Linked DNA regions of Canis lupus familiaris. The protein of the gene in region 2 purifies or fractionates together with the protein of the main gene of each other region. This does not show direct contact. Links are inferred from orthologs where the notes say so. Each region holds a gene or a part of one and is shown on either strand. Other genes may lie near its edges.

Region 1 (4,308 bases), on a different chromosome or scaffold from region 2:
GCTGGCCTAGTGACTTAGGTGGCTGTCCCATGCCTCCCCCCCCCCTCCCCCACGACCAAGACAATTTTGTATAAGGACAGAAATGAAGAGAGGACATCAAGTTTCTGGGTCTTGTTACCATTCGGGCCAGGGGACAAACTTCCAGCCAAGAGGCAGGCTTTTCCTCCCCATAGAGCTGCCACAAGGTAGAAGATTGCAGCCTGAGCAATCGACGTGAAAGTGTTCCAGTAAGACCATACTCCTTGAAAAGCCCTTAAATGAAAGTAAAGGAAGAGAAGAGAAAGCACTTAGCAAGTTTGCACCCAAGCTCGGAGTCCAGATGAGGAAGACCCAGGCTGCATGTTGGGACAGCAAAATGATGTGAGCTGTTGGGGTCTCCAGGATCAGGCCCTGAGTGAAAGGCAGATGCTCAACCGCTGAGCCACCCAGGCGTCCCTAAGGTTGCCTTTTTGCCTCTAGCAAAATGTTAACGTTGAGGCAGCTGAGTTCCTGGAGGAAGGTCACCCTGTCTGTCCCAAGTACTTGTCAATGGGCTGTACATTATACGGAAATTTAGGTTTTTTTCCTGTATTTCTTTCGCCTTTGGTCTCCACATCACACACCATCCAAAGGTGGGGTGAAGATTTGTATAATCCTCATAATTATCCTTTGAGGAACACAATATGGAAAGTAAAGCTCAAACATGCTGAATGTACATTTAAAATATACCACAGGGACGCCTGGGCGGCTCAGTGGTTGAGCGTCCGCCTTCAGCTCAGGGCGTCAGGCGCCCCTGGGGAAGCTGCTTCTCTCGGCCTAGGTCTTTCTCTCTCTCTCTCTCTCTCTCTCATTCTCATGAATAAATAAATAAAATCTTTAAAATATATATATACCAGAGTTCTATAGCTCTGCTTCGCCTTTTGTCATTTGTCACTTCACCGCTAAGGCTCGCGACAGAAAAGTGGCCTCTAGGGTTACCATGCTTCTCTGAGGAAAAAATTCTGCTTTTGATCTGCTTCATCCCCCTAAGAGCCAATGAACCAAAGGCAAAGCCCCCGGCCGCCCCCGGAAAACACAACCCAGCCTCAGTCAGCGCCCCCGGCGGCCGCTTTTCCTCGGGAGGAGCCTCGTTCCCACGGTGCCTAGCAACCGTTACCGTGACAACACGACCGGCGCTCGCGCACCTCCCAGCGAGGCTGTCGTCTGCATCCCAGAAGGTACTGCGCTGTCGCCAAGCCTTCCGCCCCCCTGCATCCCAACATGCAACGGGGTTCTATTAAAAATCAAGCGAGCGTCCCCAGGATGGTTATAGGAACGCCTGAATATCTGTGTTCGTTTAAACATGAAAACTGACTGTCATATGTTCACAGACGAGAAAGAACTCTAAAGAGAGGCCTCGGTGATCTTTTTCAGAAAGCTCAGTTGTAAGTTTTCGAGGAGGAAAGCCAAATATTTCCCAAGACTCGTTCAGGCACATCATCGGGCAGCCCGCAAGGCCCGCGGCGTGGGGGCCTCGGGGCCCTAGGCAGGGCACGTGCGAGAGGAAGTGGCGCTGTCAGTCCGCGCGGCGCTGGTAGACCCTTCAACGTGGAGCTATGGGAGGCCTGGAGAAGAAGAAGGTGAATGAGGCGGTATCCCCGGCGGGGTGGCGCTGGGGAGAGGGGGGCCGGGCGGGAGATGGGAGCGAGGGAGCCAGGGGACTGGACCTTTCCCGGCCGTGGCCCCTCAGGTGTTCAGAAACGGCTGTGACCTATGCGATGAGAGGCAACTATGAGAAAGGGTGCGAGGATGGGCGAGGGTGGCAGTACTCGTCCGATGAAGTCCGGGAAAGAACCTTGGAGTAGGGCTGTAAATGTTGGGAGTTGCGAAGGAAAGCTTCACTCCAAATGCAGACCGGGCCGGAAGACAACTGTTTACTGAAACAATAATAAACGTTACGTAAACTTTACTATTCCGTCAAGTTGATGATCTCCAAAACTCGTTATTCCCTTCCCTGTTAAACCTGCCCTGGATGCTGGGGAGGGAAACATAAACAGTCAGATGTGGCCCCTGCCTTCCCCGAGCTCACTTTCTAGCGAGGAAAGAGGGTTAACACTGAACAACCAAATGAAACGATCACAGATTGTTAAATGTGATATGAAAGAGAAGAGCGGAGAATATAGAAGAATACTTACGTCGGTTAGTGTCGTGTTGGAAGGTCTCTCTAACTCAACGTTTGGGCTGAAATCCGAAAGATCAGAAGATCTCAGATGGGTTCTGGGGCCTGGGAGTTCTTAGCGAGCAAACCTGACGGAAAACTCCCTAGCAAGACTGTTAGGTGGGAAAGGCTTTCTGTGTGCAGAAAATTAGAAGGACATCAAGGTGGTTGGGGTATGGTAAACCAAGGGAAGAATGGCATTTGTTGAGGTTAAGGTTAGACAGGGACCAGATGTGGAAGGCCTGGGAGCCAACGTGAGGAGCTTGGTTTTTATTCCAAGTGCAGAAAGCTTCAACTAAAGGGGAAGTACCATGGTCGTTTTTTCAAAGATTTGTTTGTTGCTGTATGGAGGATCACCTTAGTGGTATGAAAAGATTGGGGAAGGGGTGAAAGTGAGGAAGATGCAGTTGCCTCGTGTTTCCTTCAGATTGTAAGTTTCTGTTGTTTATGTTTAACCCAGCACGCTGTTGAACAACCAGTAAGTGCTAGTGTCTGGAATTACAAATATATAAGATGGAGGGATGCCTGGGTGGCTCAGCCGTTGAGCATCTGCCTTCGGCCTCAGGGCATGATCCTGGAGTTCCAGGACTGAGTCCCACAACCGGCTCCCTGCAAGGAGCCTGCTTCTTCCTCCACCTATGTCTCTGCCTCTCACTCTGTGTCTCTCATGAATAAATAAATAAAACCCTCTAAAATAAATAAATAAGATGGATAATCTTCCCTTGCAGCATGGATGCAGCTATGTATACAAACCACGACAGGGTTTTTTTTTTTTTTTTTTTTTTTTTTTTTTTTTTTAAGATTTTACTTATTTGAGAGAGAGCATGAGCAGGGAGGTAGAGGAAGAAGCAGGCTCCCTGCCGAGGAGGGAGCCTGGCATGGGGCTCTGTCCCAGGACCCTGGATCATGTCCCAAGTCAAAGGCAGATGATTAACTGACTGAGTCACCCAGGCACCTCAGATCATGACAGGTTTTTTTTTGTTTTGTTTTGTTTTTAAGATTTTTATTTATTTATTCATAAGAAATATAGAGAGAAAGAGAGGCAGAGACACAGGCAGAGGGAGAAGCAGGCTTCATGCAGGGAGCCCGACGTGGGACTCGATCCCAGGTCTCCAGGATCACACCCTGGGCTGAAGGCAGGCACTAAACCGCTAAGCCACCCAGGCGTCCCCATGACAGTTTTTAATGCTGGGTTTCACAAGCATTTTGAGCCAGATAATGCTTTGTTGTAGAGTGCTGTCCTGTGCATCATAGGGTGTTTAGTAACATCTTGACCTCTTACACACTAGATGCCAATGGCACTCAACAATCCAAAATGCCTAATTCCCTTCCCTCCATCCCATACACAGCCAGGGAGTAAAACCATCCCAGTTGAGAACTACTTAACCACTTGATATTTAAAATAATAAGCATGATGACAGACACATATGTGATGTAAGGCTATGGGAAACACTTTTAATGAACAGTTAGCTTTCTGAGACAGACTGAAGCTCATCTTTGTATCTCCAGTAAACAATGTCTGGAGGAAAGAATAAATGGTGTATTTTGTGACAGGTAGCAGTAAGACAGCGAAGGGTTATAAACATACTTTCGGCTTGAAGCTCGGCCGCCATCATGAACTACACAGTAACTATCCAGACCAGGAAGTTCATGACCAACCAACTGCTTCAGCGGAAACAGATGGTCATTGATGTTCTTCTCTCCGGGAAGGCAACAGTACCTAAGACAGAAATTTGGGAAAAACTAGCCAAAATGTACAAGACCACACCAGATGTCATATTTGTATTTGGATTCAGAACCCATTTTGGTGGTGGCAAGACAACTGGCTTTGGCATGATTTATGATTCCTTGGATTATGCAAAGAAAAATGAACCCAAACATAGACTTGCAAAACATGGCTTGTATGAGAAGAAAAAGACTTCAAGAAAACAGCGCAAAGAACACAAAAACAGAATGAAGAAAGTCAGGGCGACTGCAAAAGCCAACGTTGGTGCTGGCAAAAAGTGAGCTGGAGATTGGACAACAGAAGGAGTAAAGATTCTGCAGTGGCTTTATCTGTGGTGATCGTGCAGATTTTTCATGAGAGGATTAATAAACTAAGAACGTTAAAAAAAAATAAACATACTTTCAAG
Region 2 (4,216 bases):
AGGAAGCAATAAAAAAAATAGTATAGGATAAAGTCTGTGGTGATGCCTGCTAAGTGCCCAGTGCCCAAATAATGGCATTGGGATACATATACGTACACTGTGTTACATATTTGGCAATGCCTGGAGACATTGTCACATCTGGGGTGCGGATACTACTGGTATGTAGTTGGTAGAAGCCTGGGGATGCTGCTAAACATCCCACAATGCATGGGACAGCCCCCCATACTAAAGAATTATCTGGCCCAAAAAAGCCAACAGGGCTAAGACTGAGAAACCTTTGTTAGACCTTTAGCAACCACCATGAGCAAAGCAGGCATGGTCCCTGCCCTCCTAGTATCATGAGGAAATGTTTAAAATATAATAATGTGTGAGGGGCACCTGGGTAGCTCAGTGGTAGAGCATCTGCCTTTGGCTGGGGTCTTGGTACCGAGATCCTAGGATCCAGTCCTGCATCAGGCTCCACGACGGGAGCCTGCTTCTCCCTCTATGTCTCTGTGTCTCTCATGAGTAAATAAAATCTTAAAAACATATATATAATATAATAATGTATTGAAGGAATTCAGAGAAAGACACTAGAGTCTTGCTAAAGTTCAGCCCATAGACTTGAAGCATGGCATCACCGGGAAGCAGGCTAAAACTGCACAGTATCAACCCCCGGCCTCCTAGTGAATGAAAATCTGCATTTTAACGGGACCCTCAGGTGACTACGATGCATATTAATGCTGGAGACACCCTGCACTGGGGGTTTCCAGAAGACAGAACGTGGGCTATTTTTCCTTGTTTAATGAAGACCGGGAAAGAAGGAAGCAAATTCCGGGTGTTGAGAGGTATATAAAGAAGATCCCGAAACGGGCAAGGAGGAATTTCTATTCAATCCAACATAGCGTTTGCCTGCTTACCGCCAGGCATCGTGCTAAGCTCTCTAAATGGAGTATTTCACAGAATCCTCGGAACGCTATTGGGTAGGTCCATCTTATGGGTGAGCAGACCAAGGTACAGAGGTTAGATAACTTGCTCCGGGACCCACTGACTGTCTACCGTGCGGAGTCGTCCACGAACACCTCCACCCACACGGACGAGCCAAAGTCACGGCCCCAGCCCTCCCCACCCAGCAAAAAGCCGATCATGCCAGCCTGTCGTCCTCTCTCTTTTTTTAAGATTTTATTTATCCATGAGAGACACACACACACAGAAGCAGAGACACAGGCAGCGGGAGAAGCAGGCTCCACGCAGGGAGCCCGACGCGGGACTCGATCCTCGGTCTCCAGGATCACGCCCCAGGCTGAAGGCGACGCTAAACCGCTGCGCCACCCGGGCCGCCCCAGTCCTCCTCGAACTCGCGCCGCCAACCGGAAGTCGGAGGAGCGGCGCGCCCTCCACACCGGAAGTCGCAGATGCAACTTGGGAAGCGTTTCCTTGTTTATAAGCCTTGCCACCAGTGTTCAACGAATATAGTAAACGAAGAGAGCGGCTTATGAAGATGACACGGATCCTAAAGTGCTTGGAAGCTCTGTGCAACTTCGGCCGGAATCTGTGTTAGCGGCAGCTAACGGCGCCAGCTGTCGGGGGCGGTCCTCCGAGGGCTAGAAGACCCATCTCTATGGTCAAGCAAACCGAGAGCGGTCCTCTCTCCCCCACGTGGTGGGGCTGCGCATGAGCAGTAGCCGCTGCTCGGGAAACATGGCGGAGCAAGAGTGAGTGTTCGGGCTTTGAATCTCAGTGGGGTCTTGAGCATCTGGTGCCATCCACGGTGTTTATTCCTCCGCGGCGCGAATAGAAGGGTTCTTGTGGACTGAAGGAAGGACAAGAGAAAAGACTCCAGATTTCAAAGGGTGGGATGAGGAGTAAAGCCGTAGGGTTCGGGCTGACGGTCAGACGGAGGAAGCCGCCGTCAAGCCCGAGTTACCTGGAGCGGCGGCGGCGGGCTGAAGAGTGCCGGACTTGGGTTCGCTCAGCCTGACGCAAGTACTACCCCTGCAGATGAGTCTACACCCATCCTAACCCCTCGGGGTTTCTCTAGAATCACGTAGCTGCTAGTGTCTTTAAAAGGCTGTGGCAGTAAAAGCTCCATGGAGGCCTAGGGAGGGCCAGTGGCCCCAGGGTTCGTGACCTTTCACTGCTTTAGGAACGAGGGTTCCCTCGTTAAGGGGTCCATCTTGAGGACTGAAGTCAGAAACCACAGGTTTCAGGGAAGTCTGGCTTTAGGAATTTGAAGAGAGTAAGGTTTCTCGAAGCCCAAGAGATGATTCAGAATTTCATTTATGATTTGCTTTTTAGACACTTTCGCTGATTGCGATTTTCTTATCAGGCAAAGAAAAAAGATCCCTTTGGTTCCAGAAAATCTCCTGAAAAAGAGGAAGGCTTATCAGGCCCTTAAAGCCACTCAAGCAAAGCAGGCGCTTTTGGACAAGAAGGAGGTAATGATGGGGAACCAAGAGAGGGGAATTGGAATGTGTGTTTGGTGAGTTCTGTGTAGGGTGTGTTAAACTAGATTTGGCGTCGTCGACGGTGCTGTCGCCATCAATTCTAACAGGTGTACGGTTCGTGTCTTCGTTTAACAGGTGTTTATGAAACGCTTTCTGCAGGTAAAATGCAGTAGAGTTTGGTAAGGAAAAAGTGGAGTGGAGATTGTACTATAGGTTCATACCAAGTGATTTGAAAGACCACACATGCTTGTGTACCTGGAAGAAAATAATATTATACTTAAAGGTGCCAAACAGTTTTTTGCTATTTGCTAAACGTTTTTGGAAAACAGATATTTTGAAGTCAGGAAAATGAAACAAGCTCATGCTTATTCTGTACCTCATGATGCTTAACCCAATGTTAGGTTCCATAAATATGTGTTGGTAAACGCTGGCTAACAGCATGTAAATTAACTTGTTTATTTATCAGAGGCTTTTCCTAGGAGTTTCAGAGTTTTCACACTTCCATCTTCACTTGGGTACCTCATTTTTCCTTTAAATAGAATAGAAGGTGTTTGTTTGCTTAGGTTTGCGGGACATAATGGAAAATACATTCAATCGAGAGTGCCTGATGAATTACTATTGTAGAAGTAAAAAATAGAGGCACAAAATGGTGATGATGGTCTCCCTTCTTTCAGCAGAATAAAGGAAAAAAGCTCAAGTTTAAGCGACTGGAGTGGTTCCTTCATGATTCCTGGCGGCAGCAGCGTGACAGGGTGCGCCTCAGACGCCTGGAAGTGAAACCTCATGGCTTAGAAGTGCCAGATAAACATTCCTTGGCCTTCATTGTACGCATCCAAAGGTGGGGAACTTGCCACATTCCCAAGGCTGAAGCAAATTGTTGGTTCAGCTTTAGACTCCTTTCTGGGGGAAGTGAGTTATAATAGGCTTTAAGCCACTCGGGCAAGTTGTGCTGGGAATTCAGGGTCAAGCACAACGTGGTTTTTGTCTTTAAGGTTTTAGGAGAGTGACCTTAGGCAAACAGACATGAAAATACACCCAGTGCTGTGAAGGTTGACTGTTGTTGGAGCAGTACTGGTTCAGGACACTCTAAAACAGGGCCTTGAAGCTGAGACCTGCAAACATGGAAGGAATTCACAAATTTCAAGGAAGGCTTTCCAGGCATAGATGCAGAAAGTCCTGAATTGAGAGAATCAAGGCTTCTTTCTAGGAACTGAACCAAGGTCAAGTAAATGGAACGTATTTAGTGCTGGGGAGAGTTCATAAAGCTTTTTTCTCACTTAATTGTACTTTACCCAGTCTACCTGCATGTACAGCTGCCTCCCTCTTTCCAGTACCCAGGCACCCAAACCAGAAAAGTGTGTGCTTTAAATATTTTTGAGTCCTCGTTATTAACCTTCCTACCATTTCTCATAATTTCTTTCCTGGACTGTCGCATTAGCTTCCTGAGTTTCCCTGCCTCTGATGTCACACTTTCAGATCTGTCTTATATGCTCTCCTCAGTGATCATAAAGAAGAAAGGTGATTGTGTTTCCTTTCCCTAAAGTCTTTGTGCTGTTACTGCCCAGGCAGCAAGTCCAGCTTCCTTTGCTTGACGTTCACAGCCCTACACACACACTCACACACCCCCAACACACACTGAATCAGGGCCTCCCTCTGTGTTCTTATAGCACCTCAGGCATTGCTCCACATCATGTGAGAATGATTGTTTACATAGCTGCCACCTCCTGACCTGTTAGACATAGTCTGTGTCTTGCTCTCTTGATGCCCTGTAGTGGCAAACATTTTATAGT
Region 3 (3,226 bases), on a different chromosome or scaffold from region 2:
GTGGCCACTAAGGGTCTGTAGCACCGCATTGCAGTGGGCAGAGGACCTGCCAGCAGTTTCAATACTTCAAAATTTCAAAAGGCAACACAGGCTGACATTCCAGCGTGCCTGAAATGTCTGAGAACCCCAGGGTTCCATGGAAACGCCATGCCCAGAAAGGGCAGCCTCCCACTCTGCCTGCCCTGCTGCTTTCATCTAAGGTGGCTCAGTTCCTCCCATAGCAGAGACCCTCAAGGAGCAGAGGCTGGATGTCACAGCCTCTGGGGCACCAGAAGTGGCCCCTTCTGGGGAGATAAGAGGAGCCCCAGACGGCCCAGTGGCTGTGGGGGGAGTGGCCCTAGGGGACGCTTCCCCACAGACGGCGCTCTGACCTCTGTGGAGTCCCAGGCCTGGCCAGTTGGGTGGAAGCTGCAGAGGCAGCAGCCTGGCTCCCCTCCATGTAATGTGCTTGAGCAGTGGGCATGTCGCATAACCCACAGCACCTTGCTTCCAGCGCCTACAACAGGAGCATGAAGGCCTCAGACGCCTTTTAAAGAACTGAAAAATGCCTAGCACTACTCCCAGGACGGGGGAAGAACTCGCTAAGTTGCACCTGGTACTGTGACTATGGCCTACAAGCCCCTCCACGGCATGAGGCGTGCACGCAGCAGGCGGCAGTACCTTCAGGTCGTTATGCAGCGCATGTCCGACCAGAATGCGGCCCTTCAGCATGTCTGCCACCTCCTTCTGAACGACTTCGAATTTTTCTCCTGACAAGCAGAACGAAGAAGTGGTTTTTAGCAACGTGGACGAGGGTGGGCTTTCAGAAGCACTCAGGGCCACCCAACAATAATTTTAACTGTTGAATCTTGTAAGAATCAGGCTGGGATTTCAAGCTTTCCAACTGGAAATAAAAACAAAAATGGTCCTTTACCACGGATGGTGAGGAGTGCTGCTCCAGACACTCAGCCCCACAGGGAGCAGCGTGCCTGCTCTCCTAGCAGATGCCCTTGGGGTCACCCCGCCCCCTCCTCCAAGGGAAGGGTCGGGTCACCCCGTGACCCCGCCTGTCCCCAACAGAGGAGATGAGATCAGGGGCAGCCCACCTTGAGCAGGACCTGTCAGGGCCTGGAGCTGAGGGGCTGGTCAGGCTGCAGCACCACTTGTTGGTTGGATGTACAGAGGGAACCTGAGAGCTGCAGAAAGGAGACTGCATGGGGCAGAAGGGACAGTGACCTCGATCCTGAAAGCTTCCAGGACCTCTCCAGGTCCCTAACCTCGGAGTCACCCTGGGGGCCTTTCTGTTCTTCCTCCCCCACACCCAATCCATCAGAAAACCTACAGACTCTGCCTTCAGGGTGCATCTGGGTTCGGGCCGCCCCCCCACCAGGTCACCACTAGCACATGCCTCCTCTTCCTATTTCCACCCTCATGGGCCTAGGAGTCTATTTTCGACACCACAGCCAGAAGGAACCTGCTAGAAGCTGAGCTGGGCCTCTCACTGCTCAGACCTTTGCATGGCTTCCGAAAATCCTCACAAAGACGAGACCCTGTAGGGTCTACCTGCTCTCCTGCCCCCCTCACCAGCATATACTCTCTGGGTGACACAGAGGCAGGGACACAAATGTGCCCAAGAGCCATCTGAAAATGGGTCACCCCTCGGGACTCTTGCTGTGGCGAATGCTCCCAAAAGAAAGGGGACATAGAGAAAAAGAGGGGGTACCTGGCTGGCTTGGTTGCTGGAGTGTGCAACTCGATCTTGGGTTCGTGAGTTTAAGCCCCACACTAAGTAAAGAGGTTACTTAACAAAATAAAAAGGGAGAAGGGAGGGCAGCCCGGGTGGCCCAGTGGTTTAGCGCCTGCCATCGGCCCAGGGTGTGATCCTGGAGATCCAGGGTTGAGTCCCACGTTCGGCCCCCTGCATGGAGCCTGCCCCTCTCTCTGCCTGTGTCTCTGCCTCTCTCTCTCTCTCATGAATAAATAAATAAAATCTTAAAAAAAAAAGGGAGAAGGGACTCAGGCATTGCTTCTCCTCTGTGCTCATGAGCTGGGAGGACCCACCCTGCTTGAGGTTTTCTGGCCGGATCCCGCTGACCGCCGTCCTGTAGTCCGTCACCGGCTGGGTGGGCTTGACGTACTTGTCATAAACACACTTCCCATATTGGTTCACAATAGACACTCGGGCAGCGACGCTCTCTTCCCCCTTGGGGCCCGCGCCCACCATCTCACAGTCCATGGCTAAGGCTCTCGTCAGGCTGAAAGGAACCAAAGATTCCAGTTTAACCAACACGGCAGGACCCAGCAATCGGCACCTAAAGTTCTCCGCCCCTCACCACTGCTCGAGGGACCAGCTCTCTGCGCTCAACGCTCCTCGCAGGACAGGGTGGCGCCTGCCTGATTCAAGTCGGGGAGGACAGAGCTCCTTCCCCAAACCCTTGCCCTTTTGGGCTCAGTGCTGCCAGGGGCCCCGGCCCTGTGTGCATACCCGCCGAAGGCCTGCTCCTTCACCAGCGTGGTGCTGCTCTCGCTCTGCCCCAGCTGCTGTCTTGCTATCCTGGCTGCTTCTGGGCCCATGGCTGCTTCAATATCCGCGGGGTCAACATCATCAAACCAGATGTCTTCTCTAAAAGGCAGAGAACAGGGACGTCTGGGTGGCTCAGTGGTTAAGCGTCTGCCTTTAGCTCAGGGCGTGATCCTGGAGTCCTGGGATGGAGTCCCACATCAAGCTCCCTGCAATGGAGCCTGCTTCTCCCTTTGCCTATGTCTCTGCCTCTTTCTGTGTCTCTCATGAATAAATTAATAAAATCTTTTAAAAATAAATAAATAAATAAAAAGGCAGAGAACAGGCCAGGCACGCTGGTCAGTGGAGGTGCTGGTACAGCTGGGGGTGGGGGGGGGGCACCCAACGGCCCAGCTACTCCTGCTGTTTGCCCAGCATGGCACCCTGCTTTTCTTTTTAGTTACAGGATGAGCTCATTATCCAGAAATTAAGAACTACAAGTAAACAACAAGGACGTCAATTACAAACATACAACCCAGGTATAATGAGTACTAACTTTTTTCCCCCCATGTCGAGGAAGTAGTAGGTTCATCATGGAACATTTAGTAAGGAACATTTCCAAGGAGTAGGAAATGGAAACCCAGACATCCCTGCCCAGCTCCCCCCACTTCGCCCACCAGCAACCTCTAGTGTCGTCACATCGAGGCCTCAAGGCTAGATTGCACACGCAAGGGTGACCATTCCCAC

The links.
Region 1: the proteins of RPL7L1 (region 2) and PES1 purify together in Homo sapiens (affinity purification with mass spectrometry; 4 studies listed by BioGRID and IntAct, counting the BioPlex papers as one, with this or other methods). This does not show direct contact. The link is inferred for Canis lupus familiaris from reciprocal best matches to the Homo sapiens genes RPL7L1 and PES1.
Region 3: the proteins of RPL7L1 (region 2) and REXO4 purify together in Homo sapiens (affinity purification with mass spectrometry; 3 studies listed by BioGRID and IntAct, with this or other methods). This does not show direct contact. The link is inferred for Canis lupus familiaris from reciprocal best matches to the Homo sapiens genes RPL7L1 and REXO4.

Annotation. Positions count from the first base shown.
Region 1 is NC_049247.1:24,078,746-24,083,053, reverse strand, and holds the start of PES1 (pescadillo homolog), read left to right. Parts: upstream 1-1,487; 5' UTR 1,488-1,574; coding exon 1,575-1,598; intron 1,599-3,775; exon of another isoform or gene 3,776-3,790; coding exon of another isoform or gene 3,791-4,183; exon of another isoform or gene 4,184-4,198; intron 4,199-4,308. Other genes in the region: 40S ribosomal protein S24-like, read left to right, coding at 3,791-4,183. UniProt on the Homo sapiens protein: Component of the PeBoW complex, which is required for maturation of 28S and 5.8S ribosomal RNAs and formation of the 60S ribosome.
Region 2 is NC_049233.1:11,631,402-11,635,617, forward strand, and holds the start of RPL7L1 (60S ribosomal protein L7-like 1), read left to right. Parts: upstream 1-1,387; 5' UTR 1,388-1,653; coding exon 1,654-1,694; intron 1,695-2,308; coding exon 2,309-2,417; intron 2,418-3,100; coding exon 3,101-3,264; intron 3,265-4,216.
Region 3 is NC_049230.1:49,885,861-49,889,086, forward strand, and holds part of REXO4 (RNA exonuclease 4), read right to left. Parts: intron 2,603-3,226; coding exon 2,465-2,602; intron 2,235-2,464; coding exon 2,041-2,234; intron 750-2,040; coding exon 661-749; intron 1-660.